Diceros bicornis minor: one gene and its partners. Each later gene encodes a partner of the first gene's protein in a complex. Links are inferred from orthologs where the notes say so. Each region holds a gene or a part of one and is shown on either strand. Other genes may lie near its edges. The genes, in order: MED19, MED7, MED31 and MED13.

Region 1 (8,460 bases):
AGGGATCCGAACCTGGGAACCCTGGGCTGCTGAAGTGGAGCGCGTGCACTCAACTGCTACGCCACTGGGTCGGCCCCTCAATTTCTCTTTTTTACACTCCAAATCTTCCTTACCTCACTCATGGTTTCTCTATTTCAATACGTGGCACCCACATTCTCCAGATATTTTTATTTATTTTAATTAATTAATTAATTAATTTGGTGAGGAAGATTGGCCCTGAGCTAACATCTGTGCCAATCTTCCTTTATTTTGTATGTGGGACACCACCACAGCATGGCTTGACAAGCAGTGCATATGTCCGTGCTCGGGATCCGAGCTCACGAACCACCAGGCCACCGAAGCGGAGTGCGCAAACCTAATCACCATGGCACCGGCCCAGCCCCTGCAGATATCTTTAGAAGCAGTACTCCTCAGTTCAGAAATCTCAATGGTTTCCTATTACCCCCAGGAAAAAGCTCAAATTCCTTTGGCATTTGCGGTAAAATACATCTTACCGTAACTTAGCTTTGGGGCCTGATCAACCACTACTGCCCTGTGCAAAACTGCTGATCCATCCAAATGGGTCTCCACCATCTCCTGAAAAAAACACCCCTCATACTGTTTCCTTTTAGGAAATTTCTTTTAGGAAAATTGACCTAATTATAGGAAACTTCCTCCTAATTTTCTTCACTAATATGAATTCTTCAAGGTCTAGCTCAAGTGACAACTTATTCCTGCTGTTAACTTGGATAACAAGGGACACATTTTGAAGACCATGATGTAGTTCTTAATAGTTGTATGTGAGTCATGACCACAAAGTAATGAGACTGGCCTTGACAAGAAACAGTCACTACTTTATCCTTAGACCACAACTTTGCATCCCTAAGTAAAATAAGCTCCTTAAAAGCAAGGACCGGGCTTATTAATCTCTCTCCCCTTCTCATCACATGTCCCCTTTCCTACACATCCAGCCTTTGCTCAAAACAGATATTCAATATCTGTCAAGTGATTGATATAAAAAGGTACAATCAGAACAGGTAAGGTTAAAGAAACTGCTGGTAGACATCAACCACTAACCAAAGAAAAGTCAACCTCTCTGTGCTTCAGTTTTTTCAACTACAAAATGCAATAACAATGCCTATCTCGAGGGGCTGTTCTAAGTATTAAATACTATGACATATATAACTGCATTGTCAACTTCAAAGTACTGTACCAACATTCATTATTATTTCCCTCAACTCTTGATGTGGCAGTAGGTCATGGGATGAAGTGAAAGGCATCTTGAAGACTTAACATGTATAAGATGACTCTTGATTTCCACCTCCTCAAAGGTGGAAATCTTGTTTCCACCTTCCATCCTTGTTCTTTCCTGGTCTTAGCACTACCATCCACCCAATCATTCAAGCCAAAAATTTCCAAATCATTCTCAATTCCTCTCTCCTTCATTTCTATATGTAGTCCTTCATTCCTGCTCTACCTCTAACATTTATCCTGCATCCACTTACTTCTCTCCTCCACTGCTATTGCCTAGTCCAAGCCATTATCTCTTTGCCTGACTACTAAGCAGTAACTCTCGACTGATTTTCTCACTTTGCTTTCTTAATGTAGCTGCTTGAATGATTAAAAATAAATAAGTTATGGGGCTGGCCCTGTGGTGTAGTGGTTAAGGTCATGCCCTCTGCTTTGGCAGCCCAGGGTTCGCAGGTTCGGATCCCAGACACGGACCTACACGCTGCTCATCAAGTCATGCTGTGGCAGTGTCCCACATATACAACAGAGGAGGACTGGCACAGATGTTAGCTCAGTGACAATCTTCCTTAAGCAGAGAGAGGAAGGTCGGCAACACATGTTAGCTCAGGGCCAATCTTCCTCACCAAAAAAATAAAATAAAATAAAAAATAAGTTAGATCATGTCACTCTCCTGTGTTAAAATGGCTTCCCCCTGAACTTAAAATCTAAATGCCTTACAAGGCCTCTGCCTATTCCTCCCACCTTCATCTCCTATCACTCTTTCTTATGTTCAATTCACTGGAGACCAACTGCTCTTTGGTCCCTCAGATATTCCAAGGTTCTTCTCACATCAGGGCTTCTGATCTCATTTCTTGTATCTAGAATTATCCCTCCCTCCCACTCATAAATGCCTGACTCTTTCTCTGTGTTTACATTTTAGCTCAAATGTAATGTACTCAGAGAGGACTTCTCTAATCATTCTAGCTAAAGTAGTTCTGCCCCCTCAATTTTTTTATCACGTTTTCTCCTTGTAGCAATAACCACTGTCTGATATTATCTTTTTTACTTTTTGCCTCCTTCGCTGACATATAAACTCCAAAAAAGGCAACGATCTTGTGAGTCTTGTTCGCAGCTGTATCTTCAGCATTTAGAACAGTGCTCGGTACACAGTAGGTGCTCAACAAAATAATTTTTTGAATGAAAGAATGTTGTTCAATTCGAATCACTTCTTCAAACAGCTGAGGAAACGCTGAGGCCCTGAGGAGGGCAGCTTGCCCCAAACCGATAGCAAGTTTGTGGCAGACTTGGAACTAAAACCTTACGTCCGCAGGGATGTTAAATCAGGACTCTCGAGTTCCAAACTCGAACCCTGGATAGCTTCTAGGGAGCCATAAACCAGTGTCAGGGACAGGGGCCGGACAGGGCGTGAAAGATGATCACGGGGATGCATTCTTTTCCCATCCCCAATCCATCCCAAGAATTCATGCCATTCCTTTGCTTGTGAATCCTCAGAACCCTTCGGACTTAAGAGCTCCAAAGTCCCAGAACGCGTTGCCTAGGTTACGCCTCACCTCCGCCGGCGGGCTGAGAGCCACGCCCCTCACTTCATCGCTATGATCTGATTGGCTGGTTTCGGCCAGGCCTAGTACTCACCTGGCAATTCCCGCATTAGGTAGAAGGGACCGCAACCCGCCGCTGACTTGTCGGCGCCGGGAGGGGCCGTGGCTGCGGTGGGGGGCGGGGCCGTGCCGGGTCCCCCGCCCGGAGGAGGGGGAGGCGGGGGTGGAGGCTTTCCCGGTCCGAAGCCGAGTGCGGTTGGGGGCGGTGGTGGGTCAGCCTGAGCCCCGAACAGCGCCGTGAAATTCTCCATCTTCCCCTCCGCGCCGGCGGTGTTCGGGTGTCTGGCGTTGGTGATTCTCATTGGACAATCCTTTTACGGGGTACCGCCCCCTTCCTCCAGGAGCCGCTTATCATTGGATTGCCTCGGGCCCCGCCCACTTTCTTCCGGCAACTACTTCCGTCGCTGTTTGAGAACGTTCAGGAAGCGCTGTCTAACCATATTAAATTCTTTCTGATATCTTCGCTTGCCGTAGTCACATGTCCAATAAAATGTCTTGGGGCGGGAGAAAAGCGACAGCTAGATTGACCAATAAAGTATCAGATCCCTCTCTCAGTTCTTACCCACCGTAAAGTCCAATTAGATCTAATTCCGGGTCCAGAGGCGGTGCATCCGAGACCAGGCCCAATGTGGGGAGAGACGGTTACCTGACCAACCGACGCCGAGGAGCTGCGGGCTCCGCAACGGCCGAAAAGATGGCGGTCCTGGCGCCTTTAATTGCTCTGGTGTATTCGGTGCCGCGACTTTCACGATGGCTGGCCCGACCTTACTACCTTCTGTCAGCCCTGCTCTCGGTGGCCTTTCTACTCGTGAGGAAGCTGCCCCCGCTCTGCCACAGTCTCCCCACGCAACGCGAAGACGGCAACCCGTGTGACTTTGACTGGGTGAGCGACCCCCGCCTGAGGACCCCGCGACCTTGACTTCCCTGCCCCCGCGGTTGCATCCGGGGGCCTTGAGGTTCCCCTTTTTGAGAACACCTGAGGTTCCGAGGCTGTAGCGGACTTCCAGACCATTAGCGTGTAGGGTCGGACCGTCATCGCTCTAGACCTCTGCATGTTTAATTAAGATGGGAAAACAGCGGGTTAGTCTGCACAGAAGACAGCCTGGGTCTTCTGACTCTGGAGTCCAGGGTTCTTTCCATCTTACCATTCATAGTTGTCAATAGCCCTACCTAACAAGACCCATGTACAGTGTTTCACAGTGCTGCTCATATGGAGAGCCTATTGAGAGCCAGTGAGGTAAACAAGGCAAATGGTATTTACTTTTTATTGATGAAGAAATTGATCTCAGCGTGGTTTGGCGACTTGCCCAAGGTCACACAACGAGTGAGTGCCTGGGGTTTGAAACCACTCTTCTGGCCATAGTACCTGCACACTCACAGCCATTTCTTAATTCAGTTAACATTTCCAGAGTGCGCGCAGTATGCTAGGCACTGTGCTGCATCCTGAGAATGCAAAAATGAATAAAATTGTTAAGCCTATTGAAAAGGAATTGTAAAAAATATCTTGTAAAGAAATCTATCTCAAGCCTCTTGCTGTACTTCCTGACTAAGAATGGAGGGACCACTCAGAAAAATGAATGGAAGCTCTGTGCCCTCTGGTGTATAGCAGCATCTGTGTTCTGAGGAAGGAAGGTCATCCTGAGTTTTCATCTTGTTTTCCAGCCTCCTCAAATGAGTCTTGACCTTTACTAGAACCTACTCCTTTACTTTTATCCTCCGTCTCTTGTTTACTTTTTAATGCTTTGTCTGTCCTTTCCCAGACAGTATTATCAATTAGCTCAAATGTTGCCATGCTCTTTCAAAAGATCCTATCTTTGTCTGATATTCTATACCACTTTAACCAAAATGGAACTCAAAAATATAAGTGGATAGTAATAAAGATTTTAATAAATGTAGAACCTTTTATACAATTAATTTCTTTGTATACTCGTCTAATAATATGCAAAATATTGGAAGGTTTTATATTTTATTATTACTCTGATAGAATTTTTTTTTTTTAACTACTTCGGGTTTATGGCCAGTGTTTGTTTTCCCGGAAAATACGTGTTTTACTGATTTACCTTGGTGATTGGGAAGTTAGGATGTTAAGGTAAATAATGTTAGCAATAACAGGTAAAATTCAAAATTTCAATGGCTTAACAGAACAAAAGTTTATTTCTATTTTATTAAATAAAAGGAAAGAAGCATTTCACGTTTCTTAGATATACTGTGTTTCAGAGTAATCAAATAATTGATAAGAGAATGTTGATTTCTTAATATAAGAATTTGGGTTAATACAGAAGGAATGATAGAATTTAAAAATTATTTAGTAGCCCCAATGAAATAATAAATCGAGGCAATGATCATCGGTGGATGCTAAAACCATCAGATGAAAGGTTAATGTGTCCTCTGAAGTGATGCAGTGGGGAGTACTTAGCACCACCTATGATACATTTTTGGCAAAAAATTTGGATTTTATTGTATTCAGACCTCTAGATTTCATTAGCACTTTACAAGAAATATGGGAGATGGAGGATCATCATTAGAAAAAAACATACCATGAGTATGAAGGCAGCCAAATCTTAAAAGCAAGAATGTTGACGGTGCAAGTGACTCAATGCCTTCAACAGATAAATGGCTGGGGGGTAAAAAGGAAGGGCAGATATATTAGAGATTAAGGAAGAACAAGGACACACATCAGCCAAATGCAGTACGTGGATCTTGCTTGCTTGTTCCTGATTTGAACAAACAACTGTAGAAAGACAACTTGAGATAATTGGGATCATTTGAATAATGACCAAATATTAGATGACAGTAAGGAATTATTGTTAATTGTGTAAGGTATGATAATGGGATTTTGGTTTGTTAAAAAAAGTCCTTATCTGTAAGAGATACACACTGAAGTATTTATAGGTGAAATGATATCGCTGGAATTTGCTTTAAGTTTCCCCAGCAAAAAAAGTGGGTAGCATAGATGAAATAGAACCATTTTGGCAAAATGTTACTGTTGAAGCTGAGTAATAGGGGTTCATTAAAGTATTGTGAGGAGGAAAATTAATTTTCCCTCTACCCTTCTGAGGGCTTGGCTGAAACCCCTGTAATAAAAGACAGACTAGATAATTAAAAGACAAATAGAAGTTTATTAACATGTATGTCTCATGTATACATGGGAGATACCAGGGGAAAAGGAGTAACTCAAAGGGGTGGCTTAGAACTCCACTTATACAGCGTCTTCAGCAAAGAATGATAAATTTGTCAAGAAATGGCTGGACAAAGGAAAGCAGTTTTAGGCTTCCAAGGGCGACAGACTGTGGGAAAGTAAACTAATGGTAGGTAAAGGCTAGTTTGCTAGGTAGATTGCTCTGGCGCTGTCTCCAGGCTGATAGGGTCTAAAGTTACCTCCCTTGATTAACTTTTGTCCTTCCTGGTAGAGAGGGTTGGAGGGATACCTTTGAAAATTTATGTCCTGCTTTTAGACAAATGGGGAGAGTAGGCAGCTTTTCTTTTATCTACTTCTCAATTGCCTTCAGGCTCAAAATAATCCTTATGCCAAAGTGACATATTTTGGGGTGGCATATTCTGTTACTCTTCAGTATCCTCTCTATCCTTTTGTATGTGTTTGAAATTTTCTATAACAAAAAGTTTCAAAACAATGAATGAACAAGCAGAACAACCAAGGGACCTCTGCTTCACACAGTTATTCTGGAACCCAGTCTCATTCTGTCTTCAACCTATGGCCTTCCTAGCATCATCCAGCCAGCGGATGCTGAAAGAAAGCTGGAATGCAAGGATACACCCTTTCTTAACTGCCTAGGCGCAGTGGCACATCACTTCCACTCACATTCTGTCCAGGAGTACTAGTCATACAGTTCTGCCTAGATGCAAGGAGACTGAGAGTCTAGTTGCAATATGCCCAAGAGGCAAAGGAAATAAGGTTTGGAGTATACATAGCCAGTCTTTGCCATAGACCCATTCTCTATCTTTAGAGAATATTCCTTTTAGTCTTATCTTTGGTCTTCTGATTGACCACAGCTCCCTTTTAAAATTCATCTTTCCACAATTGTAAATCCCAATTCTAAACCAATTTCATTCATGGAAACTCTTCTTCATTTTTGCTGAGGTATAATATTTAGTAAGGTCTGTCATCTTCCTTAACCCCCACTTTACATGTCCATTTCTAAATCTAGTCAGTTACTTTTTGTTGGAGATTGAGGCTAAAAACCTAGGTCCCTGACTCCTTCCTGTAAATTGCTGTTGACCGGTTCTGTCTGCAGTAATGATTTGGGTCCCTGTATTACAAACAAAAGGTATGGAGGCTTTGGACCATCAAATCTATAGTTGCTCCTCCTCCCATGTTTTTTCTCACATGGTTTTTGCTATTCTTCATTGTGGTCTTTACTCTGAAATTGTCTTGTTTGTTTCTTTGTCATGTTTATTGTCTGTCTCACTTGCTCATAATGGAGCTTACATTCTAGAAGGTGAGAAAGAACTATAAGCCAAGGGTACTGAGAAGGGCCTTTGAGAGCTCTGAAAGCCCTCCTTCAGTTCTCTAATTAAATTAAAGGTGCATGGATTATCACGAGGATTATTAGGTGGAAAGGAATGACTTAAGTTAAGCAAAACCAAACAAATTGAATAACCGTATATTGTATTAATGGAATATTACTGAGAAAATTCCCTGGAAAAGTTTTATTTTTCCAGGATCACACTGAGTTGGTTGTAATATCTTACAGTTTTACACCATATACTTTATACAATTCTTTCATACCAGTTATCTCATTTAATCCTCACAAGAGCAATTTGAAAAAGATCTTGTTCAGTCAAGGAAACCAAAGTCAGAGGTTAAGTGATTTACTGAAAGGCACCAGCCAGTTTGTGGTGGGGTAGAACCTGAACCTAGATCTGACTGGTGTTTTCCCATTATACCTTAGCTGACTCCAGTTATTTCTTTATTGTTGCTGTAACCATGGGCCCACTAGGACCAGTTCGAACTGACCCCTTCTTATCAACAGAGGAGTGATTAAGAGTTATTTTTCAGAGGCAGTGTGCAAAAAAAAGTTGCAAGTCACGTAGCCAGAGCACGTGCAGAGGAGAAAATCTTGACCTGAAATGACACCAGAACCAAAGATTCTCCCCCACCACGGAACCAAAGGACTAGGACATGACCGGAACTTGCAAGTCGGACTCTTATCAGAAGCGAGGAGTCCGTTGTCTAGGAAGATCCAATGATAAAGCCCCTTCCACACCTTACCGTAAATGTTTAAAGCCCTCCGATTGAAACATGCCCCGCCAGTGTTTCCACATACCAGCCTGTTCTCCCTAACCTCCTGTGTTTCACCCCAAACCCTGAATGAGGAAGACAAATTTGAGAGCTTTGCCTCCTGTCTCCTTGCTGGTTGACCTTGCAGTAAAACCTTTTCTTTTCTCAAAAGCTGGTGGTGTAATTATTGGCTTTTTTATGTGCATTGTGCAGTAACATTACCATTCCCAGTTTGGATCTCTGTTGGTTTTTATCCCATATTTGCCTTCCTTGCCCACCCAAATCATCTCTATTCATGGCTTTCCTGTCACTTTGATTCTGTTCCAGAGAGAAGTAGAGATCTTGATGTTTCTCAGTGCCATTGTGATGATGAAGAACCGCAGATCCAGTAAG
Region 2 (7,361 bases), on another chromosome or scaffold:
AACATATAACTATTAGAACGCCCAGAAATTCCATTTCTACGTAGTTACTCAAAAGAAATGAAAACATATGTCCATACAAAGACATATATGAATATTTATAGGACTGAAAATAACCCAAATGTCCATCAACTGGTGAATGAATAAATGAATTACGGTACATCTGTATAATGGCATACTCCTCACCTATAAAAAAGGAACAAACTATTGATACATGCAACAACACTGATGGACCTCAGAAGTTTTATGCTAAGTGAAAGAAGCCAGAGACAAAAGTCTATATACTGCATTATTCCATTTATATGACATTCTGGAAAAGGCAAAACCATATGAACAGAAATCAGATCAGTGGTTACTGGGGCTGGGGGCGACGGACAGTGATTGAGTACAAGAGGGGAACAAAAGAAATTGCTTGGGGTTATGGAAATATTCTATATCCTAATTCTGGTGGTAGTGGTTATATGACAGTATATATTCATCAAAACTCATCGAACTCTACACCTAAAGTTAATTTTACTGGATGTAAATTACACCTCAATAAACCTAACCTTAAAAAACCAACAGAGTGGAGAAAATGTGTGAGTATTTCTGCTTGCCACTTAGGATCAAACGATAAATAATGATGATGTTTATAATGTGCCAAGCTCCTAAAACAGGCAAGATGCCAGTTACCATACACCCCTGCCAGTTTCTGCTCCTCACCTCCACCCACTCTCCCTTTGCTCATTCGTTAGAGAGCACACAGACTCCCTTCCTGTCTCAGGCTCTTTGCACTTGCCGTCTCCCAGATGTCTGCACAGTTGACTTCTTCTCATCACTTATGTTTTAGCTCCAAAGTCACCTTCTGGGAGAGGCTACCCTGATCATCTTCTATAAAGTAGCTACCCCCCAACTCACATAGCTACCACATTATTTTGTATTATTTTTTCCCCTATAGCCCTTATCATTATCTGAAATTCTTATTTGTTGGCACGTTGTTGTCTGTGTCTCTCCATTAGAAGGCAAAGCTTCTGTCTGTCTTTTTTACCTTCTAGAACAGTGCTTGCCACAGTAGATGCACAATAAAGATTTGTTGAATGGCTGTATTCCTTGTTAAGCTACAGAAAGCATCTTTAAGGAATAAACTTTCCATTCAGATTCTGGAAAATGCCACCTAAACAAATGTTTATTGTATGCCATATTCTCACTAGCCCCTCTCATGATATACATTTCATATCATTATTCATGTGTAGTTTACTGTAAAGAACACTAGACTGAGAGTCAAATGTTCTAATTCTAGCCTTGATCCTGCCACTAACGGTAAGACCCCGCACCTTTGGGTCAAGTAATTCCATTTCTAGAAATTTACCTCAAGGAAAAAAATTGGACACATGCACAAACATATGCACTAGGATGCTCATCCAGAGTATTAACAATAGCAAAAATTGGGAAGAAGATAATTTTACACAATGGGGCTTTGGCTAAATAGATTGTGGTCTATCCATCAATGTCATACTGTGAATTCATTTGAAAATGATGATTATATTCATTTTGTTACTTATTCAATAACTATTCCTTGAGTACTTGCCAATTTCAGGCACTGTTCTAGGTGCTGAGAATGCAGCAGCAAATGAAACAAAGGCCCCACACTCACAAACCTTGTATTTTGATGAGGAAGAAAGACAATAAAAATAAATAAATAAATCTACTACATAATATGATATCAGATGATGATAAGTTCAATGAAAGAAGGATAATGCATAGTAAGGGGACTGGGGGCATCCCCCAAGAGAATGGTTGGGGGCATGCTATTTTATAGTGACCAGGGAAGACTTCTCTGAGAAAGTCACATTTGACCAGAGACCTGAATAAAGTGAGGAAGTGAGGCATATGAATATCTGTGGAAAGAGAGTTCCAGGCAAATGCAGTGGCTCTGAGGTAGGAGTATGGTTGGAAAGCCTACAGCTGGAGAAGAGTGAGCACGGGAAAAAATCATAGGAAATGTTATTGGAGAAGTAGCCAAGGACTCGATTTTGTAGGGCCTTATATACGCCATGGTGAGACATTAGATTTTATCGTAAATGTGACAGAAAACCTTGGAGAATTTTGAATAAAGGAGTGGTCAGATCTGTCTTATATTTTAAGAGTGTGATAAACAGGCGAAGTGAGGACAGAAGAGAAGCAAAGAAACCAGCTAGGAGGCTATTTCAGAGGTCCAGGGGAGATAATGGTGGCATGGACTAGGACCATAGCAGCAGAGATGGTGAAAATTAGTCATATTTGGGACTTTTACTTATTTCTAAATAGAACTGATACAAAAGGCTGGGATAGTATATTTGAAGGAGCATGGAAGAAAGAATGGTAAAAGATGAATCTTTAGACTTGAGCCTTTGCAATTGAGTGAAGTGCACTTGCATGAGTAAAGATGTACAATACTGTTGGATAAAGGGTCTGAGTGCAAAGCAGAGGGTGTTGCCAGGGCCTGGAATCACCTGGATATTATCACCTGGATGATATCCCACTAATAAGTGAGAACTGCGTCGTGGGGCAATTCAAATAATCAAATGTGCCAAAAGCTGCTGAGCATGCAGTAAAAAGTGGACTAAGAATGACCTCTGGAGGTCACAGCTGTAGGTCACAGTGGTCTCAGCGGCGAGGAGAAAAGCCTGATTGGAGTATGCTCAAAAGTAAATAGATTTCTCCAACAAATAAATTGATGTAGGGGGAAAATTGAGATGAGTGAAGGAACCTATAGATTAAAAGGTAATTAAAAGACACATCAGTCAGTCACAAATGAGTGTACTTCATTTGGATCCTGAGACAATTGGTATCCAAATACTGACTTGATTTTGATGGTATTAAATTGTTGGCACCACTCACGTAAACAGTAATCTTTACTATACATATTAAAGATTTTGGTCTTATTATCTTCAAATTAAACCAGGGTATAAGGTGTTGCTCCAGTCTCTGATGCATATCCAGTAAAACAAAAGATTTCCAGGAACTAAGACCGAATCCCTCCAACCATGCGGAGACCAACCGCCTATAAACTGGCCTGTAGTCTTGGTTCTGTTGGTTCTTTTTAGTCAGCTATCTTCCCCCTCGCTAGCAAGCTATAATAAAACTCTTTCTCTCCTACCACCTTTCCTCTCTACTACTGTCATGCCTTGCGTTGAGCAGACGACCCCCCTTGGGCAGTAACATAATTATTAATTTATTTTTAAATGAGACAATAGTTCTGTGGTTATGTGAAAAAAAGAAAGTCCTTATCTTTTAGAGATGCATGCTGAAATGAAATAATGTCTATACGTAGATAATTGTTCAAGTTGGGTGATGAGTACACTGTTCTCTCTACTTTTGTAAATATTTGGAACTCTCCATAATAAGTTTTTAAAAAACTAAGTCAAAGAATTTTATTTTAAAGAGGTTAGGTTGAGAACTTTTATCAAAATAACAACCTTATTTTCTGTGTGCAACATGCTCTTGTAAGATTCCCACGAATTTAGAAATTTGTGACACTTATGAAAGTAACGTCCAAAGGAAACCTTTAAGTTTGATTTTGTTTTTAAATTTGTTAATTTATTGCCTGGAAATATAATAGACATGGCTGAATTCCTAAGTGAAAATAAAAGTGAATGGACGGTGAGGAAATGGAAATTGAGACTATTACTGATCTCCAATCATGTTCACAAATATTTCCAGACTGAAAAAATATATAAACAGCATATAGAGTCCATCTCATTTCTTTAAATGTTATTTTTGACAGTGGGGTTAGAGTCGATATAATTTTTTAAAATATCCGCTTACCTGTATTTTCTAACTTTTATGTAAGGCATATGGCTGCCTTGTTTCATTTCAAGCGTTAAAAAAAGAAAGAACGGAGATATCACCTGCTCCTTTTACTGATAGAAACCCTCCCCAGCTGCAAACCCAACCACCGACCCCACCGCAGAATTGCTGGGGTGGGCCGTAGGAAAGAGATACGCGCAGGCGCAATAGCGAGCCATGGGTCTGAGGCGGGACTAGAGCTTCGGTTAAAGGAAAGCTCTTTCAGCCAATCAAGGGGCAGTGTCGGTGGCTTCTTCCTGGAGGAGGAGACCGGAAGTCGGATCTCGGCTGCGGTGGCGAAAGCGGCTGCTAGACTATACCCAGCACTGAGGTGAGTGGGCGGCGACGGGTTGGGGCTCTGTTTTGCGTGCGTTTCTTCTTCCGGACCCCGCGGCTTCCTCAGGGCGGGCTGGGAGTGGGGGGAGTGCTCGCTTTCTTTCTTCTCTTTGTCTGTCGGAGAGCGCGGCTTTCCCGCCGCTCGAGGAGCCCCGGGTGGACAGCCTGGCGGAAGGTGCCTTCAGGGCGGCGGGCTCCGGCTTCCTCCCTGTGGGGAGGCCGGGCCAGACTGGAGGGTGGGAGACCTGGGTTCTAGTCCTGCGCCGCTGGTTTGCTAGGCTGTGTGGCCTTGGCGAGTCATTCGGCCTCTCCGGCGTTTGTAAAATGAGAATAACCCTCCTTGCCCTTCTTCTCCAGGGAGCGATCGTGAAATCCGCTGAATTAATGGGGGGCGGGAGAGGAGGTAGATCTCAAGCCTAACGTCAGATTCATCTGCAGAGGTTTAAAAACTACATTCCAGAGGCCTCATTCACAGTAGACAAAATGAATCAAATGTCTGGGGATGGGACCCCAGGATACCTTTCTTTTTTGGTTAAACCCCCCAGAATGGAACAAACACTAGAAGGTGGATCTTGAGTCTGATAACCGGCTTTGATGGTTTTACTGAACACCTCCATCGCCTTTGAAAAATTCAATCAAAACAAGTGATAGAAAAATAAACATAATTTCTGTAGTATGTCAGGTTCCTTTTGTGCAGTTAAGAGGCTTCATAGTCTGCTGGTTTAAGGGAGCTTGTACTGTGCAGCTCAAAGGACCAAGGATAAAAATTCCCGCTGTGCCACTTACTGGCGTTTTGATCCCTGGTGCAAGCACTTCCCCTCATTGAGACTTGGCATCCTCATCTTTAAAATGAAATTGATGATACCACTTAACTCATAGACTTGTTATGAAGAGTAAGTAAGAGAGGATATAAAACAATGGTACCTGTCACGTAGTTGACCTTTGGAAAATGGCAACTTAATTAGAGGAATGCACGTGGTGCTGGGAAGCACAAAACGACTCCCAACCTAAAAAGGCTTGAGTGGGGTGAAACCTGGGCTGTCTAAAATTTGTTTTGAAGTACCAGGTCAATGCTAATTCTCTGATTTTGGTAATTATGTGCTTATAAGAGAACATTGTTTTGGGGATACGCACTGAAGTATTTGAGGGTAAAGAGATGAGAGACCAGTAAGGCAAATGAGGGGAAAATGTTAATATTTGGAGAATCTGGGTGAAGAATATGGAAGTTTCTTTGTACTGTTGATACAACTTTTCTGTAAGTCTGAATTTATGTTAAAAAGTTTTAAAAAGTTGATTATGACTGTTTGCAACTATCATAAGTGTGTTGTAAGTAAATGAAACAGTACACAGTGTTTATAACCTCCCACCCCACCCCATGTACTTGCACCCCTTTTACCTTAATGGCTGTGTTGTATTATGTAGATGTATTTTGTCCAGCCCTCATATTGATGAAATCATGAGTTATTTCTAACGTTTCCTGCTCTTTTTTCAAACAGGGCTGCATTAAACATCCTTATACACATTTTTGTGTACTTGTACCAATGTTTCTATAGGATAAATTTTTCGGGATAGAATTATTGGTTCAAAGAATATCAGCATTTAAAATTTTGATACTGCCAAATTAAATTCCAAATATATATTTGTTTCCTTTCCTCTCAGTTGTATATGAGACTTCCTCAGATTCTCTTAGGTGGTACTGATCTACCACCTAAGAGTATTGTGTGGTGGTGGTGATGGTGGCTTCTGTGAGAGCTGAAGGGAATGGATGCTCTCCACCAGAGGCGACTTCCCTGCAGGGCCAGAATAGCTAAGAGCCTGCTTCTGAGATTGAGATGACCACTCTGAAGAAACTGAGAGGAAGGAGAATGTGACCTCTGCGGGAATCTGGGGCTTGCCACATGGAAGGTGTTCTAGTATTTGTTGAATGATGGAATATTTGAAGTCTTGATAGTCTGATAAATGAAAAGTATTCTTTTTTTTTTTTTTTTTTTGTGAGGAAGATCAGCCCTGAGCTAACATCCATGCCAATCCTCCTCTTTTTGCTGAGGAAGACTGGTCCTGGGGTAACATCTCTGCCAATCTTCCTCCACTTTATATGGGATGCTGCCACAGCATGGGTTGACAAGCAGTGCCTCGGTGCATGTCCAGGATTGGAACCCAGGCCACCAGCAGTGGAGCACGTGCACTTAACCGCTACGCCACGGGGCCGGCCCAAAAGTATTCTTTTTAAAATTTGCTTTTAAAAGTGTATTAGTCTGGGGGCCGGCCCGGTGGCGTAGTGGTTAAGTTCACACACTCCTCTTCTGCAGCCCAGGGTTCACAGATTTGGATCCCGGGTGCGGACCTATGCACTGCTTATCAAGCTATGGTGTGGCGGCATCCTACATATAAAGTAGAGGAAGATGGGCATGGATGTTAGCCCAGGGCCAATCTTCCTCAGCAAAAAGAGGAGGTGGCAACAGATGTTAGTTAGCTCAGGATTAATCTTCCTCACCAATAAAGAAAAAGGTATTAGTCTGAATATTTTCTAGCTTTTATTCAGCATTTGTATTTTCCTCGTCATCTTTTGTCTATTTTTTTAATGTAGATTTTTTTTTAAAAAAACTCATTCAGTGGACCTTTATTGAGGATCTAGCACCTTCTAGGCATTGTTTGAGGTGCTGGATTAGAGTTGGGAACAAGATAGGCACTTCCTGGAGTCATAGTCCTTTTCTTCTAGTGGAGGTGGAGTCAGGCAATGCATTTTTAAAAAATCAAAATAAAATTTTTAGTATTTGCCCTTTGTTAGCTTGCAAGCATTTTTCTCCCAGGAAAATGGATTATCTTTTAATTCTGCTTATGATATTTTCCTGTATGGAACTTTTAAATTTATTTTTGGTAGTTAGATCTGTTGGTCTTTTGTAGTAGCCTTGTAGTTAGTTATTTCTTGTCTGTTTTCCTTGATAGATTGTAAGCAGTACTAGGATGGAGGCACTGTTTCTTGTTTGTCTTTGAAAGATAGTATAGTGTTTGAGATCTTTAGGTTCTGGATCCTTCCTCTACTACTTTGTGACTTTACGTAAGCAGCTCAACCCTTCTGAGCCACAGTTGTCTTATCTCTAAAATGGAAAGAGTACCTTTCTTTTCTCAGATGTCTCACAACCATGAAAAAAGTATTTAGAACAGTCTGGCACATAGTATGGACTTAAATATCATCTATCATCCTGATCATCATCCCTGGA
Region 3 (8,347 bases), on another chromosome or scaffold:
GCTTTAAGAGGGCATAGACTGGTTCTGGATTAATTCAGGGACAAAACTCGGAATGTGGCTTGAAGCTATAATATAAGGAAGAATTTTCTAGCATATAGCTAACAATAGAATTGGCTGTTCCTGAACAGAGCAATATATGCTCACTGGAAACCTCCAGCCAGAGTGTAGATGACCATCTCAGCAATGTGTGGGTGAAACTGATCTTGATGGTGTCTTTAGACTTAGCGTCCAACACTGAGTCTCTAGGTCTATGTGGGAGATCAAGATTTGGCCACCCTGAAATCTATCTCTTTACCTTGGTTGTTTTCTCTGAGGACATTTGACCTCCCCCACTAACTGCCTAAAGAATTTGACATGGTGGCTCCTTCCTGGAACAGATCTATCATGATGGCTGTAAAGATAATGTAGGATGGAGGTTACAATAGGAAAGGCACCAACAAGCCCCTCTTATCAGAAGTTCTGTCTCTCTGGCCACATTCTCTGGATGACCCTGCGAGGAGTTGCCAGACAATCATTTACATTTATAAGGGAAATCTCCATTTGTAAAGGTATCTCCCTCTCTGTTTTGAGAAGAGAGGGGGATGGCCTCATTTCTAGAGGCTTATCAATGTGGAAGTTGAGGCCTTAAAGCTGCATAATAACCTTACTCTTGTTTACTGTGCTTTAGTGGTAATCTCCTGTAACTGACTCCCCCAACCCCCAAAATCCTCCTTTGTCATTGGCTGAACATGGTATTTAAAACGAGAATTTCTGCTATTGTGTTGAGAAACGCAGTGTCCCTGCTTTCTCCCATGTATACATGTTATTAAACTTGGTATTATTTTCTCCTGCTAACCTGTCTTGTTAATTATTTGGCCAGCCATAAGAACCTTAAGGAAAAGGGCAGAGGGAGATTCTCCCTCTTCCCCCTAAAACTACATACATATAACATGTTGCAATCTAATAAAAAAGTCTCTTCTCTGGATTATTAAATGAATAAGTGGTTGTTTATAAAGGGCCAGTAAGGGTGCAAAGGGTCCTGCAGGCAGCAAGAGGATGTGGGCTCCGTTAATCAGTTGTTTTCTTAGACACAGATTAGAAAAGTGACTTGGATAAAGTACAAACTTGAAACATCTTCCTCTCCAACTTACTGTTTGTTTAGGGAAAAAAAGACAAAAAGTTTCACTATTGCTTTTTAACTACCTGGTTAAGACAAAGCAGAAATATGAGTTCAAAGTTTATTTTTTACCATTAAAAAGGAATAGGTTTGTGATTATAATATGCTTCTTTCAATTTAGTAAGCCTTAAAATGACATCTGTTGCACAACCCAAGTGCTAAATATACATATATATATTTTTTTTTAAATAAGCACAGTGCTTGGCACATAGGCGGTCCTATAAAAAGACAGCAGCTATTAAGACTCAGGTAAGGTTACCTCCTCCGGAAACCTTCCTTAGAAGTACCCCTTTCTATGTTCTTTAATTTTCAGCCTATGGCTATGTCATTGCATTTATAGATTGTGGGTTCCTTGGGATCAGAAATCCAGTGAGATGGGGTACAAGGTAAGGTCAGACAGTTCAGGGCCAGAATATACAGGGCTTTAGCTCAAGAAAAGAGACTGTATTTGATTCTACATGCAATGGGAAGCTACTGAAAGGTGCCAAGCAAGAAACTGACATGTTGCGATTTACATTTTTTTAAGAGATTAAGTTGGCTTCTGAAAATTATTTTGCTTTGTTTGGCTTGGCAGGGGCAGGGGGGTAAGAGTGGAAGCAGGGATAACCCATGAGTAGATTACTGCAATAATCCAAGTTAGAGATGAATGTGTCTTGTATTAAGGTGGTGGCAACTAAAAGAAGTGGAGAGATTTAAAATATATTTTTTCCAATGTGAAACTAAGAAGTCTGTTGAATACAGTGTTTTGGAGTATAATAAAGTATACACATATTTAGGACTATAAAATTAAACTTACTTTAGATACTTGGCATATTCTGGTTCTTTCCAGTAAAGCAAGTACTTAAGGTAATTAACAAAAGCTTTGTCTTTGAAGTAACCTCTTTGGGCAAGAACTGAAAGGCATAAGAAAAAAAACACATCTGTAGAGCAAACCAATCCTTGAACTACTGATTTGTAACTCCTAACATAAAGAATTTACTTACATAACATTCCCACCACCAACAGATACTGAATTCAAAACACAAGTCACAGTTTGCTCAATTATATATATACCAGTACAAGTGTAGCATTAATTCTGTTCAATTGAGAACGTATAAAAGTAGTTACTATCATGAATTGCAACTCTTCTGTCAGAAATCATTAATAGCTACTTAATTCAAAGAGGTGCTCAACAACTTACAATTAAGGTAATTTGGGTTGGCTAAACACTGCACAAATTCCAACTCCAACTGAAACCGAAGTCGATTTCCAGCATCATCTAGGAGAAAAGATAGCAAAAATTATCCAAAATAAAGATCACTCTATATAATATTGATTTGTAGAAAGAAAACAGCAGTAAAGAAAAACACGACTAATGCTGAGATTCATTTCTGCATAGAGAAGGGCATGTGATGGTTTTCCTACACTGAGTGTGGGAGAAGATAAACCTTCCTTAGAAGTCTAAGAAAAGCAAAGCCCTGATTAAAAGGAGTAAGTGAGAAGTTTCTCTCAAGTTAAAGAGACGTCATCAAAGAAAATAGGAACTCACACGGGGCAGAATATTTATCACCTGTGAGCCACTATGTAGGGATTTTTAACAGTGACCACTGGGGTAGGTTGTAATAACTGTGCCTTCCCCCATTTCAGTAATGCATTACAACAACTTGTTAAGTAATTAAGTTAAGCAAAGCTAGGTGAATGCTAAATCAATCAGGAAAACATTTAGAAAGCAAGCTGAAAAGGAGAGTACGCAAGACCAAGGAGTGTGTCGCATGTGAGAAGCGTCAGTGGCAGAATAACACACAACTTTGTCGACGATATTTCAAACTTCTGCAAGCTCATTTGAGAGGCAGAAACAAATCGAGGAACGGTTTAAGACCGAAGTCCTCTCCCTTAGTCTCGCCCACGCCGGGAAGTCAGTGTGGTCGGTGTTTGAACAACAGGTGGGGAAAAAGGATCTCCGAACAAACCAACTCAGAAAAGGCCAAACTACCTCTCAGCTTCCCCCTCCCGGTCCGAACTCCATCCCTGCCGGGAGTCAGGCCTGGAAGGAGCCGCCGGGGAAGCGAGAAGAGGGGTCTGGGCCCGCGACAGTCCTATTTGCGAAGACCCGCGACTCCCAGCGCCGCTTACCTGTCTCCATAGCGACAGCCGCGGCCATCACAAGCTAACACGGTAACTCGCCACCAGCCGGACACAGCAACCCCGCGTAGCGGCGCGGCAGGTTCCGGAAGCCGCGGCTCCCCTTCCTGTCGCGGAGCACTGTGGGATGTGGGAGCGGGGACAGTCTCGCGCCGGGGCGGGAGGCTCCGCCCATCCAGGCCCGCCCCGGCCCCGCCCGCGCAGGCTCCAAAAAGGCGAGGGGCCTGTGCGGGGGCCGAAGGAGTGCCGCAGGGGCCCGGCCCAGGATTTTGAAGGGATAGTCCAGGCCCCACAGGCCCACGTGCCTCCACGTTCTCGTGTCGTGACCCTCTCGTCCACCCCTGTGCCTGCGGTGGCGTAACACGTCATTGTGATGTCATTCCTTACCCTGTGACGTAACCCAGAGGCGTGACTGTTGAGGACCGCTGGGCTGCGGGGCCTCAGGCCTCCTTGGGCCCGTTACACTCGCGGAATGGCCGCACCCGGTCGGGGAAAGCCCTCTTCGCCCCGGGTGGAGACCGCCCGCTACCAGGAGACATCGACGGTCCGCGTGGAGAGCTCGTCCCACCGCGTGGAGACCTCCTCGCGGCAGGTGCGGACGTCTTCCCGGCAGGTGGAGACCTCCCTGCGCCACAGCGAGCGGCCCTCCCCCTCCTCCGCCTCCCCTGGGAAGTGGCTCCCGCGCCTCCTCGAGGTGTCCTCCCAGCACGTGGAGACCTCCTCGCAGCGCACGGAAACGTCCTCCCGCCACGTCAGGGCCTCGTCCCTGCGGTTGGAGACGTCTCTGCACCGCGTGGAGAGCCCGCCCCGGCGGGACAGGCCGGCTGCCCGCCAGAATGTAAAAATGGCCCCATGAAACACTTCCCAGAGGCCACGAAAGGGCCGTGGCCCGTAGCCAGGACAGAATTGCCTCCAGTGTGCAGCCAGCCGGCTGCCAAGTGGACCAGTCATCTTTGGTGTCATAGAAACAGCCCATGAATCAGTGTCAGAAAGAGCCAAGCTGCGGTTTCGGGACTCAGCTAGCACTTATTGACCATGCTGCACCTTGGACCGCACTGCCTTTCACCCAGTGAACTATTTTAACTTGAAGCCAGCACAAAAAGTTTTCAGGCCCATGATACTGTATTAAAGTGGGTTGATGGACAAAGAGGCTGTTTCAACCTCTGAGCCAGGTGAGTTTTGGATTCATAGTCCCTGAATGACGACCTTCACTGCTTCAGACTTAGGGACAGAGGGCAAACTGAAATCATGACCAGTGGAATGATTATATGCCTGCTAAAAATCTGAGAGGCAAGGAACAGACTTTCATTCATTCATTAATTCATTGGCCTTTGTTTATGTTTCACAATAATCGGTTATTTTCCTTTGCTAAGCCCTTGTATATGGTACCCCCACCCACACACTTTTTAACATAGGCCAAATTTAGTTAAAAATGAAAATTGAAGGTAAACAACAACATCAACAATCAAGCATAATCTTAGAAGGGAAACCTGACCTGAGGTTTAAGAAGGTGGAGGGAAGGAGTATTTATTGAGAACCCACTCCGTGCCAGGTGTTATTCTAGCACTTGGGCTATAGCAGTGAACCAGGCAGGAGACAGGGTCCTGGCCCTCAAAGAGCTTATGCTTTGATGAAGAGGCAGACAGCAAATGACAGAAAAAGACCGTTTGCTATTGTGATTAGCACTATGAAGGAAATAAACGGGTAGTGTGATAGAGAACGGAGGTAAGGGGGTTCTTTAGATAAGATGGTCAGGGAGGGCCTTGGTGATTAGGCAACATTTGACCTCAGATTTGTATGGATGAAAAGTGAGCCATGCAAAGATCTGGGGAGACTGCATTCTAGGCAGAGGGAACAGCAAGTGCCAAGGGGGGATGGGAGCAAGCTTGGAATGTTCAACGAACAGAAAGACCCGTGTGGCTGGAGCTTAGTCAGGGAGAGGATGGTATGGAAGGGAAGATGTTAGAGAAGTAGGCAGGGGCCAATTCATAGGGGTCTTGTAAGCTACAGTAGATTTTATTCTAAGGTCAATGGGAAGACATTGGAGGGTTTTCAGCAGGGGAGTAACATGATGCAATTTACATTTTTAAAATATCCTGGCTTCTGAGTGTAGGATATAGGATAGTTCTTGACTGGGGGTGATTTTGTCCCCTAGGGGACATTTAGCAATATCTAGAGACATTTTGGTTGTCACAATTTGTGCAGGGGTGGTGCATCTAGTGTGTAGAGACCAGGGATGATGCTAAACATTCTACAGTGTACAAGACAGCTCCCCTCCTCCAAACAAAGGGGCCTAAGTTTGGACTAACATACTAACAGACTTAGTCCAAAATGTCAATAGTGTGAGGTTGAGAAACCCTGATGTAGGGGACGGACAAGAGAGGAAATGGGAACTACTTAGGAAGCTAATGCCATGGTCCAGTAAGAGGAAAGTGGTTCACACTAGGGTGGAAGAAGTGGAGCTAGAGAAGAGAGGGCAGATTAGGGGTGTGTTTTGGAGGCAGGGCTGACATGACTGGTGGATACGAAGGTGAAGGGAAGAGGAATAGAAGAATCAAGGGTGACTTGACTTGAGCAGTTTGGTGTATGGTAGTGCCATTTACTGGGATGAGAAATACCAGGGAAAGATCAGGTTTAGGAGGGAAAATCAGTTCAGTTTGGCCATGTTGAGTTTGGGATGCCTATAAAATACCCAAGTGGAGACACTGAGTGGTGGTTGAATGCAAGAGGTTGGCTACCATGAGAGAGGTGAGGATTGAAAATGTAAAATGTGGGGTCGTCAGTACATAGATGGTATTTAAAGCCATGGGACTGAGTGACAGTCATCTGCCGGTCTGTCTTGCTCATTTTATGAATGAATTTGAGATCTTGTTCTTCAGGGAGCACCAGCTGGCTGAACCCCTCATCCTTCTGTTTCACCCCACAGGGCCTGGATTGACCTACCTAATTTTGCCTTGCCTATAGTCCTTTGGCAGCCACCAATAAGGGAGAAAGTTTGAACTAAAATGTCAGACAAATGCTTTAGAAAATGTGCCTTTCACAGGCAACATTACTTTGCTCCTGGGAAGAAGGTCTTAAAGGTTTAAAAGTTCATGTTTTTTGGGGAGTTTTTTTAGGGAGGCATGCATGGATATTAATGTGTAGTCCTAGTCCTGGGTTCTCATGGGATGACTGAAGAACCACTGAATTGATCTGTAATAGTGGTTCTCAACTGGGGGCAGTTTTGCCCCACAGGTAACACTTGGCAATGTCTGGTGATGTTTTTGTCACAACTGTGGGGGTTGGATACTACTGGTATCTAATGGGTAGAGGCCAGGGATGCCATTAAACATCTTAAAATGCACAGGTCATCCCCACACCCCCACCTCTGACAACAAAGAATCATTTGGCCCAATGTCATTTGGCCCAGTCATTTGGCCCAAATGTCAATAGTACCAAGGCTGAAAAACCCTGAAGTTTCTAGCAACTTAGAAAGTTAGAGTGGTCCTTTGGGGGAAGCACCCCACTTCGTAGCAGGGTTTGCTAGGGGAGAGGGTTAGAAGCAGTGTCCTCTGTCAGATGTCAGGGCAGGAGCTCTCAGAGGAGAGGGATGTGTTGCTTTTTGAGGAGACCCTACATTCGTGCTTTCAATAGTTTATGTGATATTTGTCGGAGGACGAAAGGAGGTCCCGTTTAGCAGAATGTGAATGACCTTGATTCTGAGGGACCTCATGGTGAGGCAGAGTACTTGCTATTGCCAGGCGCTGTGCTGAGTCGTTACCCACTTACTTCATTTAATTACAGGGGAGTGCGCTGGGCTGCCCAGTAGAATAGGGGCTCAGGCCAGGGGAATGTTGTAAAGCCCCCGAGTCTGCCCTCATGCTTCTGCCTCATACAACTTCTGCTATAGACTAATAATTAGACTTTGGAATTTCAGTCTTTGGTGAGCTTACTAATTTTTTTTAACATGGCAGACCATGTGCATTATATATGAACACTCTTAATCAGTGTTTTTTAAATGAACAAAGTAGTCACTTTTCTTCAACAATGTTCCGTGTTAATGTTTTTATTACAAAAGTGATATGTGCTTAAGTAACAAATGAAATAATTCAAGGCTGTGTAAAGAAAAATTTAATAATTTGTCATCATTGCCATTTCCATCCTCTGGAAATAGTTAATGTCAGCAACCTGGTATGTATCCTTCCAGACCTTTCTGCATTAACTGCTTCTATCCCCCTTGTTAGTAGTACCTAGAAGACTGGTGGGAAGATTACTGTGAAAAAGCCAAAGACTTGGTTTCTAGATGATTGAGTCTCTTGGAAGGATACAGGATTCTGGTGGCTTCTTTCCTTTTGTTATACTTGTTTGATAAGAGTTTTACCTAGGTTTCTTCCTCCCAATTTCCTTATCCATGTTGCAAAGCTGAAAGCCAAAGAGGTGTACACAGAGCAAGAAAGTGTCAAAAATGACAAGACTTGAAGGAAAGGGATGTGACAAGATATTTGTTGTATATACTGTTTTCTACATCAGTTTCCACAACTTTAAAATGATCCTGTATGTTAAAGAAACTTATATCTGTCATAATTTTTAGTGTACCTGCTGCATATTATAAGTGTGTGCTACCCATGCTGCGTGTCATCATCCTCCCCACATTGTCCGCTCTTGGAAGCTCCAAAGGAGCACGGGTGCTTTTGTGTCTGTGACATGGTATGTAATGCTGGGCCCAGTATGTGTACAATAAGGCGCTAAGAGCAATGCTGACCGTCCATTCCCAGCCAAGAAAACCTTTAACGGCTCCATCTACTAATCCCGTAGATTTATTGAGCTAGTTAATAGCTGTGACTTGCCTTCAGTTGTTGCCAACCAGGTTAGTTTGAAAAACTAAATAAGTACAAGTCAGCACCTGTCATTCTCCTCACACTCCATTCATTTATATATAAACTGAGAGCAGCTTACAAAATTCAGCATATGTATTTGCTGTCAGTTGTGTTGAAAATACTTGAAATAGAAGAATGCCATTAATAGAATACTCTTTCCCCAGATCACATGAGCCATGGGAAGAACCAAGAGCCCAGCCAGCGAGGTATGTGG
Region 4 (7,446 bases), on another chromosome or scaffold:
AAATGGACAATAGACACTTCAGAGTACTCAATTTCAAATAATGTATAAGAACATTTTTTTAGTTATCTAAAAATCCTAAATTTACCTGTCAAGAATCATTATCAAACATCTTGCTAAACTTTGGTACCTTGCAGCAAATAACCAATCATTTACATTCCTATCATTAAAGATTCAGTTAACGTTGACTCCTACAGCCTAAAGTAAACACAAACTTCAGTAATTACATGAAGAGCTATAGTTTCTCTTTCCAAAGTAACATTTGGTTCCTAAAAGTCAAGAAAATAAGATGGAAGTAATCTTAGTCATCTGCTCATAATAAAATTACTTCTGTGTAACTTTTTAGATTACGACCCCCGTGTCCTATAAAAGCTAAACAAGTTGGCAGTCATCTCATGTTAATGATAGTCTTTGATAGAACAGCATCTAAAATAAAAGAATCACTTTCCAAGAATAACAAAATTAACATATGCCTTCATATGTTAATAAAATAACAACCACAAATAACTAACAAAAATAACTACATGCCTTGAAAAAACACATGAGAAAATTACAATACATTTCTAGATACTCCTACAATTGTCTGCATACTTGTACAGAAGAGAGCAGTGGCAGAAATGACTCAAAGGTGAATTACACTTGGCTTCAAAAGTATTATACGACTGCGTTAGGAACTTGATGCTCCCCGATTTCATTTTCCTTAGGTTAATGTAACATGCCTTCCTTGGGCCCTAACTGCAAGAAATTCATGAGGAAGGTGGGTGGTGGAAGAATAAAGTTATTCAAGGCTTAAAAAGTCTGCCATAATATGGATAATTTAAGTAAAATAAATAACCACAGCGAAACAAAACATGAAGCTGACTTTTTATCTGGCTTCATACCTACGAGTGTTCCTCCAAAAACATCTTAATTTGTAATACAAATGATTTTTGGGTAACGTATACAACATTGCTATATCATTAATTAGAAATAAGTTGCTTTCACCTGATAAGTCATGGTGAATAAGGTCAGCAAAATTGGGGTCTTCACCCCACCAAAATATCCACAATTCTCTTCTTCCAGGTCTTTGATCTCGCCGCCAAACACCAAGTACATCTGCCTTAAGGCAGCGACTAAAACTGCTCAAAATGGGGTCTTCCTCAGTCACCGCAAACAGAATAGGGGCAGAAGTTGGGCCTTGCCATACATATCTTTTCCATTTAATTCCTGTCAAGTCAGCCTGAAGGAAAGAAAGCATGATTTTTTTATTATTGCACATTCACTCAAAAAAGTCAACACTACTCACTCTTAAAATTCCTTATTTCATTAAGACATTACAATTTTTCAATATGTGCTTAAGATATTGAAAACAGATTGACTAATTTAAAAAATGCTTATTAATTCTGATAATTTAACAACCAAAAATTTTAGGAAAACAAAACAGTTAAAAAATTAACACTGACGTGTCACTGAATAGCAAGTCAATAAATGTGTCCCAAGGAGAAATAAAAAAAACTTAAAAATTTAAATATAAACGTGTACTTGAATACTGCACACACAGAAGACATTTCCTCTCTGTCCTAAATTCTGTTCTAATTGGTCACACTTAATCCTTGGTGTCAAATTTGTAACACAAAACTAATTTTTAAAGATATGATTCCATGTCTATAGAAGTCATGGCTCTAATGAAAAGAAATCTGAACTATAACGGAAAAAATTCTTGTTAACTCTCCACATATCACTTTTAGGAAACGTCAAATAGGTGTTCACAAAGAACTGTCAGATTTGTGCTAGTCTATCTTCAAAGAACCTGATCCCAAAAGTGCCAAAAATAGACTTGAGTCGGAGAACACAGAAATGTAAAACCCGCTGTATGTCTTATTACATCTGAAGAGATGTTGATTAATGGACATCGTACAGAAAACATCTTATAGGGAAAAAGGGAATTAAAGATCTCAACTTAGCATCATGAAAGAAATTAGACAGAGGGAATTCACTAATTCTTTAATCTAACTTAAACAAGGTGCAAAGCATAAGGTGCCAAAAATGAAACTGCTGATACATGACTGGCAGTTTACACTTGCCAACTAGTTGTGCTCCGCCCACTCAATTCACTTACCTATCACACACTCTTGTCAGTATTTCTCATAGCACAGAGAAAATGAAAAAAGAAAGTCACCGAACTTTAAATCATTGATGAAGCTAAGCTACTGTCCAACTGAGGACTAAGTATTTGCAACAGTTGGTACTTCTGAAAGTCTTAACAACTGGATCTTCCCAGACCTGGGCCAACCTACACAACTGTCATCTCCATAGCCAGCTTCCCCAGACTTTTCAATAAAAGGAGGAGCGTCCTGCTCAAAACATTCTAAAAACGCAAGCAAAACAGACAAATATAGCAATATCTAGTGCAAAACCATAGCACCTCCTCCATTAGTCCGCTCCACTCTCACACAAACATAATGTTCTAATAAAAGCAAGATGGCCAGAAATTGTCAAAATGGCAAACTGTTTTCAAAGTTTAAAGAGAAAACATATGAAATGGCATCTACTGGTTTTTACACAGAGGTCTGAAGTCATCCAAGAAAGAAACCAACCCTCTGTTTGATTCATATAAAAAAAAAAAAAGTAAAACGAAAAGAGGTTTTAGTGCATAAGTTCCGGGGTCCTGTTTATTGGGGGAACCCAAATTACCAAAGTGGGGCAGAAAGGCAGTGGGAGAACGGGTAATAATAGAAAGTGTGAAGAAGGGATACAAAGTCAACAAGGAGAAAAGCAACAGTTAAGCACGAAACAGAAGGAAATGTTAGCGTCCTGCCAGATAAGAAGCCCAAGTTGAAGACAAGACTATGGTGAGAAAAAAAAGAGTCAGAAACAAGACAAGAAAAAAAGCCAACACCGCTAAAACAGAGCCCAGGGCAGAGGGCGAGCGAACGCGCCTCCCGGGGCCGGTGCGGAGCTCCCGCGGCGCCGGCTCGGGCCGGGCCTAGCCCGGGGACTCGGGATCTGGATCCGACCCGGCCCCCTCCCCCACGGCCCCAGGGCGCACCTCGCAGCCCCCTCCCCCACGGCCCCGGCACTCACCAGGCAGAAGAGGTTACAGTGACAATCTTCCAGGCTGGCCCCGTTCGGCACGAAGGAGGAACTCATCGTCCCTCACAGCAGCCGCCGCCGGCGCCACAACCCACCATCCGCCATTACCGCCGCCTCCGACCAGAGAGAGAAACACAGACACCGGGGAGGGCGGGGGGGTGGTGGTTGGGGGGGCGGTGGAAGAGGAGGCCGCCGGGCCGCCCGCCCTCCCCACCCACCCCCCCGCCGCCGCAAGCAGCCCCCGCCGCCCGGCACCCAGCCGCCCGGGGCCGAGGGCCGGAGGCGGGAGGGCCACGCCGCGCTCGCCCCGTGGGCCGGACTGCGGCCGCCGCGGAGCCCGCGGACGCTCGTCCCTCTCTGGGGGACAGAGGGGACGTGTGCCCCTTCCACAAGTAAAATAATAAATTACACAATAAATAATTAAAATCAAGTCCGAAAGGGCAGAACCCAAGCTCTGGAGGGTTCTCCTGGGGCGGGAGGCGCCCGCAGAGGGGCGGGAAGGGCGAGAAGCCGGAGAGAAGCCCAGGCCCCCGGCGCGGCAGCGGCGATGTCCTTAAGCCCAGAGTCTCCTCAGTGGCGGAGGTGGTGGCGGCGTCTGCGGGCTCAGACCATTCTCGGGCTGTCTTCGTGTTGTCCCTGGGCCAAGCTGGCCTAACGTCTGCGCTCCTGCGGCCTCACCGCCCGGACGCCGTAGTCTCCCCCATTTTGTGGGCCCAGCGGGCGGTGTTTTTACCCCTTTAATCCGAATTCACGGGTTTTCCCTTCGCTTTAATGGCGGCCACAGGGACCAGCTCGCCCTCTCTGCTCGCCCATTGGCCGCCTTGAGGTCACGTGGGCCCGGGCTCCGTGGGGAGGGGAAGAGAGAAGGGAGTGAGGGAGGGCCGGGAAGCTTTCGGCAGAGGCGGTGAGCCTCGGGGACGGGGCAGCCCGCTGGTGGCTGCTAAGATAGCGCCATCTGCTGGGTGCTCCGGCCAGTGTAAGACGATCGGGGCCTTGGCCCTAACTTTCTCCTTGCCGGGGAATTTACAGTACAAGAGGGTTCACATCACAAATCGGAGAATTACGTGGAAATCAGCTTGAATTCTTTGGAAGAGAAAATGTTGCAAAAATTCCACGGCATTCTCATTTATTCCACGAGGCCGCTGAGGTACAGCGCAAACCCCTGGGCCTGGGACGATCTGAGATAGGACTCAGCCACTTAAAAGTTGTGATATTAAGAAAGAAACATAAAGGAAACAATATAACCTTGTGGTCAATAGCCTGGGAGTTAGAGCCACACTACCTGAGTTCAAAACTTGAGCTAGTCACTTACCTCTTTGAGTCTCAGTTTCCTCATCTATAAAATGGGGAAAACATACCCCCTCCTCATAGTGTTGTTGTGATAATTGAGTTAATACAAATAAAGCACATAGCCCAGTGCCTGCCACAGATAAGCATTGTTAAGAGTTATCTATTACTGTGTCATCATTTACCTCACGTGGTTATCGTGAAGAGTAAGTGAACCAGTGCATGTAAAGTGCTCACTGGAGTGTAATCTCCGTTGGAACCGGGACTTTGCTTCGTTTACCTCTGTATCTCTAGTGCCTAAAAAAGGTTCCTAGCACACAGTAGGCGCTTGATATTTGTAAATTTGCAAATGAATGAGTGGTAAGAAGTAGGAACCAAATACATAAAATGTTAGTTCCCTGCTCCATAAAACACTCAGTTCTTGACTGGATTACACTTCAATGCAGGAGTTCAAACATTTTCCCTGGGAGTTTTAGAAAGGAGAGAAGGAAAAAGACAGAGAGAAGGGAAGGGAGGGAGGGAGGGAGGAAGGGAAAAGGAAGGAAGGGAGGACGGAAGGAAAGAAGGAAGGAAGGAAAGAAGGAAGGAAGAAAAGAAAAACTAAAAGTGATTCAAAAGTTAGAAATAATGAGTTAGGACTTACCATAATTTTAAATCATAATTGCCTCTGTAAAATAAATGGTGGACTCTTCCATGTCACTTCTTCAGCCGTGGAATGAAAAGCATTCCTCATCCATCCGAGATCTTGAAGCCAAAAGCCTGTAAAAAAAGTTCTGCCACTTACTGGTTGATCTTGGATCCAATTTGATTTTAGATCAAATTAATTTCTCTTACTCTCAGTTTTCTCATTGTAAAACGGGGGTAATAAAAGTACTTTTCTCATATAGTGCCTGGAAAATGAAACAGTGTAGGTATAGGGCTTGCCATAGTGCTTACTAAATGTTAGCTATTAATAAACTTTTAAAAATCGTTATTGAGCACCTGCGTGCTCAACTAAGTGTGTTCCTGGTCTGTGCTAGGCCTGGGATACAAATACGGATAAGACACCGGCCTGTCCTTCAAGGTTCCTGAAGAGAGGCAATAAAGGAACTATTTCCCACAGAATAAGATAAAATACAATGGAAGTAATTGCTTGAATAAGGTATGTATCAACTATGGCACAATGGAAGTGCAGGACAAGGAGCACCAAAGTCAGAGAATGTGTCTTAAAGTAGGTAGCACTTGAAATCAGATTTGAAGGATAAAATGAATTCTTATAAAGCCCTTTGAAGCAGTTAAATCTTATTAAACCTAATTCAGATCCAAAGGCCACATATCAAAGTCAATTATACAACCAGGACTAATTCAATTCAGGAGCTCAAATCAACTAAGGTCCACATCCTTTCTAACTGAGTGCCAGCACCAGGAGACAGCAATCCCCAGACCCAATAAGGTAAGAGCCCCTCTGCTCATCTCTCTTTCCCTGAAAGAATCCTCAGACCTTTGTGCCCACTACTTTTGTCACTCTGATATGTACTCTATCTACCACCTCTTATTTTATCCAAAATGTAGCCATCCTCTTTAGAAGTCTTGCCGTCCATTACCCTGCCCCCAACTTGAGCACCTGTCTCAGGACTCCAGAGACAGATAGAATCTGCCAGAAAACCACGAAGAGCAGAGTAACATTTGATTGACCTTTCATTTGAATGTCAATCTTCTCAAAAAGAAGGGAGAGATAGGAGACAAGAAGGGAGGAAGACCCAGAGGAAAAAGTCTGAGAAAGGATCACGGAAAGGAGCAGGACAGAGGGAGACAGAGGGAGAGGGAGGGGGGGAGAGAGAGAGAGAGAGACGAAAAAGCAGAAGAGAGATTGAGAGAGAGAATGGAGAAGTGCAAGTGGAGAAGAGGGACACCAACTGTGAGGGGAATGGAAACATCATGGGGAGAAAAACAAAGAGCAATATCAGCACACACAGAACATGTCAGTAACCAACTACATTCTCTTAAAATGACATTTTGTGTGATTTAAAGAGTAATGGAAATAAATAAAAAACTGTATATGCACATTGTCAAAAGTTTGGAAGATATGGAAAAGTATAAAGATGAAAAATAAAATACATAATCAAAAAATGCCCATAACATTACCACTCATAATTAACCATGTTTTAACATTTTAATGTATTTTCTTCCAGACTTTTCCATATATATATATATTTTTCTACATGGTTGAAGTCATACTACATATACATTTTACTACACATGCTTACTGACCATCTAGTATGTGTCACGTCATATATGCACAAAGCACAGGATATATGAGGAGCTCCTTGTCTTGCTAGATATGGCACTTGGACAGTTGGACCAGCTGGGGTCAAAACTCCACACCACGCCTGCTAGCTCCCTAACTTCCATTTACTCATTTGTAAAATGTGTATGTAATAATAGCACCTAAATGTTAGAGTTGTTGTGACAATTAAGAGATGATCCAAGTAAATAAGAGAGCCAATCAGGAATGTTAAAGTGAATCTTAGATGTTGCCTTGGGTCAATAATCACCTATTGTCTTCAACATTTTGAAATGTGGATTCGCTCAATGATCTACATTTAAAACTGTTTCTTTAACTCCTTCAGCCTTTTAAGGGCGCCATTCTGAAAGGGATAGTGGAGGCACCTGGCATCCAGAAAGGGTGACAGAGTTACATCACTTGAGACAGAGCAAGTCCAGGAAAGGGCGATGTCTAACCTTAGAACTAAGGCTCCCCACCTGATTCTGAAAAATCCCAGGATCTAGAACAGCACTGTCTAGTAGAAATAACTAAATTTTTTTCAGTAGCCACATTAAAAAAGATAAAAAGAAATAGGTGAAAATATTTTTAATTATATATTATATTTATCCCAATGTAACAGAAATATTATTTCACATGTAGTCAATATAAAAAATTATTGAGATAGTTTGCTTTTTTTTTTTTACCAAACCTTTAAAATCTGTGTGTATTTTCACATATAGCACGTTTCAATTTGGACTAGTCATATTTCAAGTGCCCAAAAGCTACATGTGGCTAGTAGCTACTGTGTCGGATAATACAAGTCTAGAATCTAAAGCTGAAAGCTA

The links.
Region 2: MED19 (region 1) and MED7 share a complex: the UniProt entries of both Homo sapiens proteins name them as parts of the mediator complex. The link is inferred for Diceros bicornis minor from reciprocal best matches to the Homo sapiens genes MED19 and MED7.
Region 3: MED19 (region 1) and MED31 share a complex: the UniProt entries of both Homo sapiens proteins name them as parts of the mediator complex. The link is inferred for Diceros bicornis minor from reciprocal best matches to the Homo sapiens genes MED19 and MED31.
Region 4: MED19 (region 1) and MED13 share a complex: the UniProt entries of both Homo sapiens proteins name them as parts of the mediator complex. The link is inferred for Diceros bicornis minor from reciprocal best matches to the Homo sapiens genes MED19 and MED13.

The regions. Positions count from the first base shown.
Region 1 is NC_080770.1:16,251,371-16,259,830, reverse strand, and holds the start of MED19 (mediator of RNA polymerase II transcription subunit 19), read right to left. Parts: upstream 3,214-8,460; 5' UTR 3,131-3,213; coding exon 2,863-3,130; intron 1-2,862. Other genes in the region: TMX2 (thioredoxin-related transmembrane protein 2), read left to right, coding at 3,523-3,711, 8,395-8,455. UniProt on the Homo sapiens protein: Component of the Mediator complex, a coactivator involved in the regulated transcription of nearly all RNA polymerase II-dependent genes.
Region 2 is NC_080740.1:73,135,138-73,142,498, reverse strand, and holds the start of MED7 (mediator of RNA polymerase II transcription subunit 7), read left to right. Parts: upstream 1-4,054; 5' UTR 4,055-4,135; intron 4,136-4,198; exon of another isoform or gene 4,199-4,315; intron 4,316-7,361. UniProt on the Homo sapiens protein: Component of the Mediator complex, a coactivator involved in the regulated transcription of nearly all RNA polymerase II-dependent genes.
Region 3 is NC_080757.1:13,084,850-13,093,196, forward strand, and holds the start of MED31 (mediator of RNA polymerase II transcription subunit 31), read right to left. Parts: upstream 3,377-8,347; 5' UTR 3,297-3,376; coding exon 3,269-3,296; intron 2,415-3,268; coding exon 2,337-2,414; intron 2,050-2,336; coding exon 1,953-2,049; intron 1-1,952. Other genes in the region: C18H17orf100 (uncharacterized protein C17orf100 homolog), read left to right, coding at 3,750-4,133. UniProt on the Homo sapiens protein: Component of the Mediator complex, a coactivator involved in the regulated transcription of nearly all RNA polymerase II-dependent genes.
Region 4 is NC_080757.1:27,788,773-27,796,218, forward strand, and holds the start of MED13 (mediator of RNA polymerase II transcription subunit 13), read right to left. Parts: upstream 3,286-7,446; 5' UTR 3,127-3,285; coding exon 3,061-3,126; intron 1,217-3,060; coding exon 982-1,216; intron 1-981. UniProt on the Homo sapiens protein: Component of the Mediator complex, a coactivator involved in the regulated transcription of nearly all RNA polymerase II-dependent genes.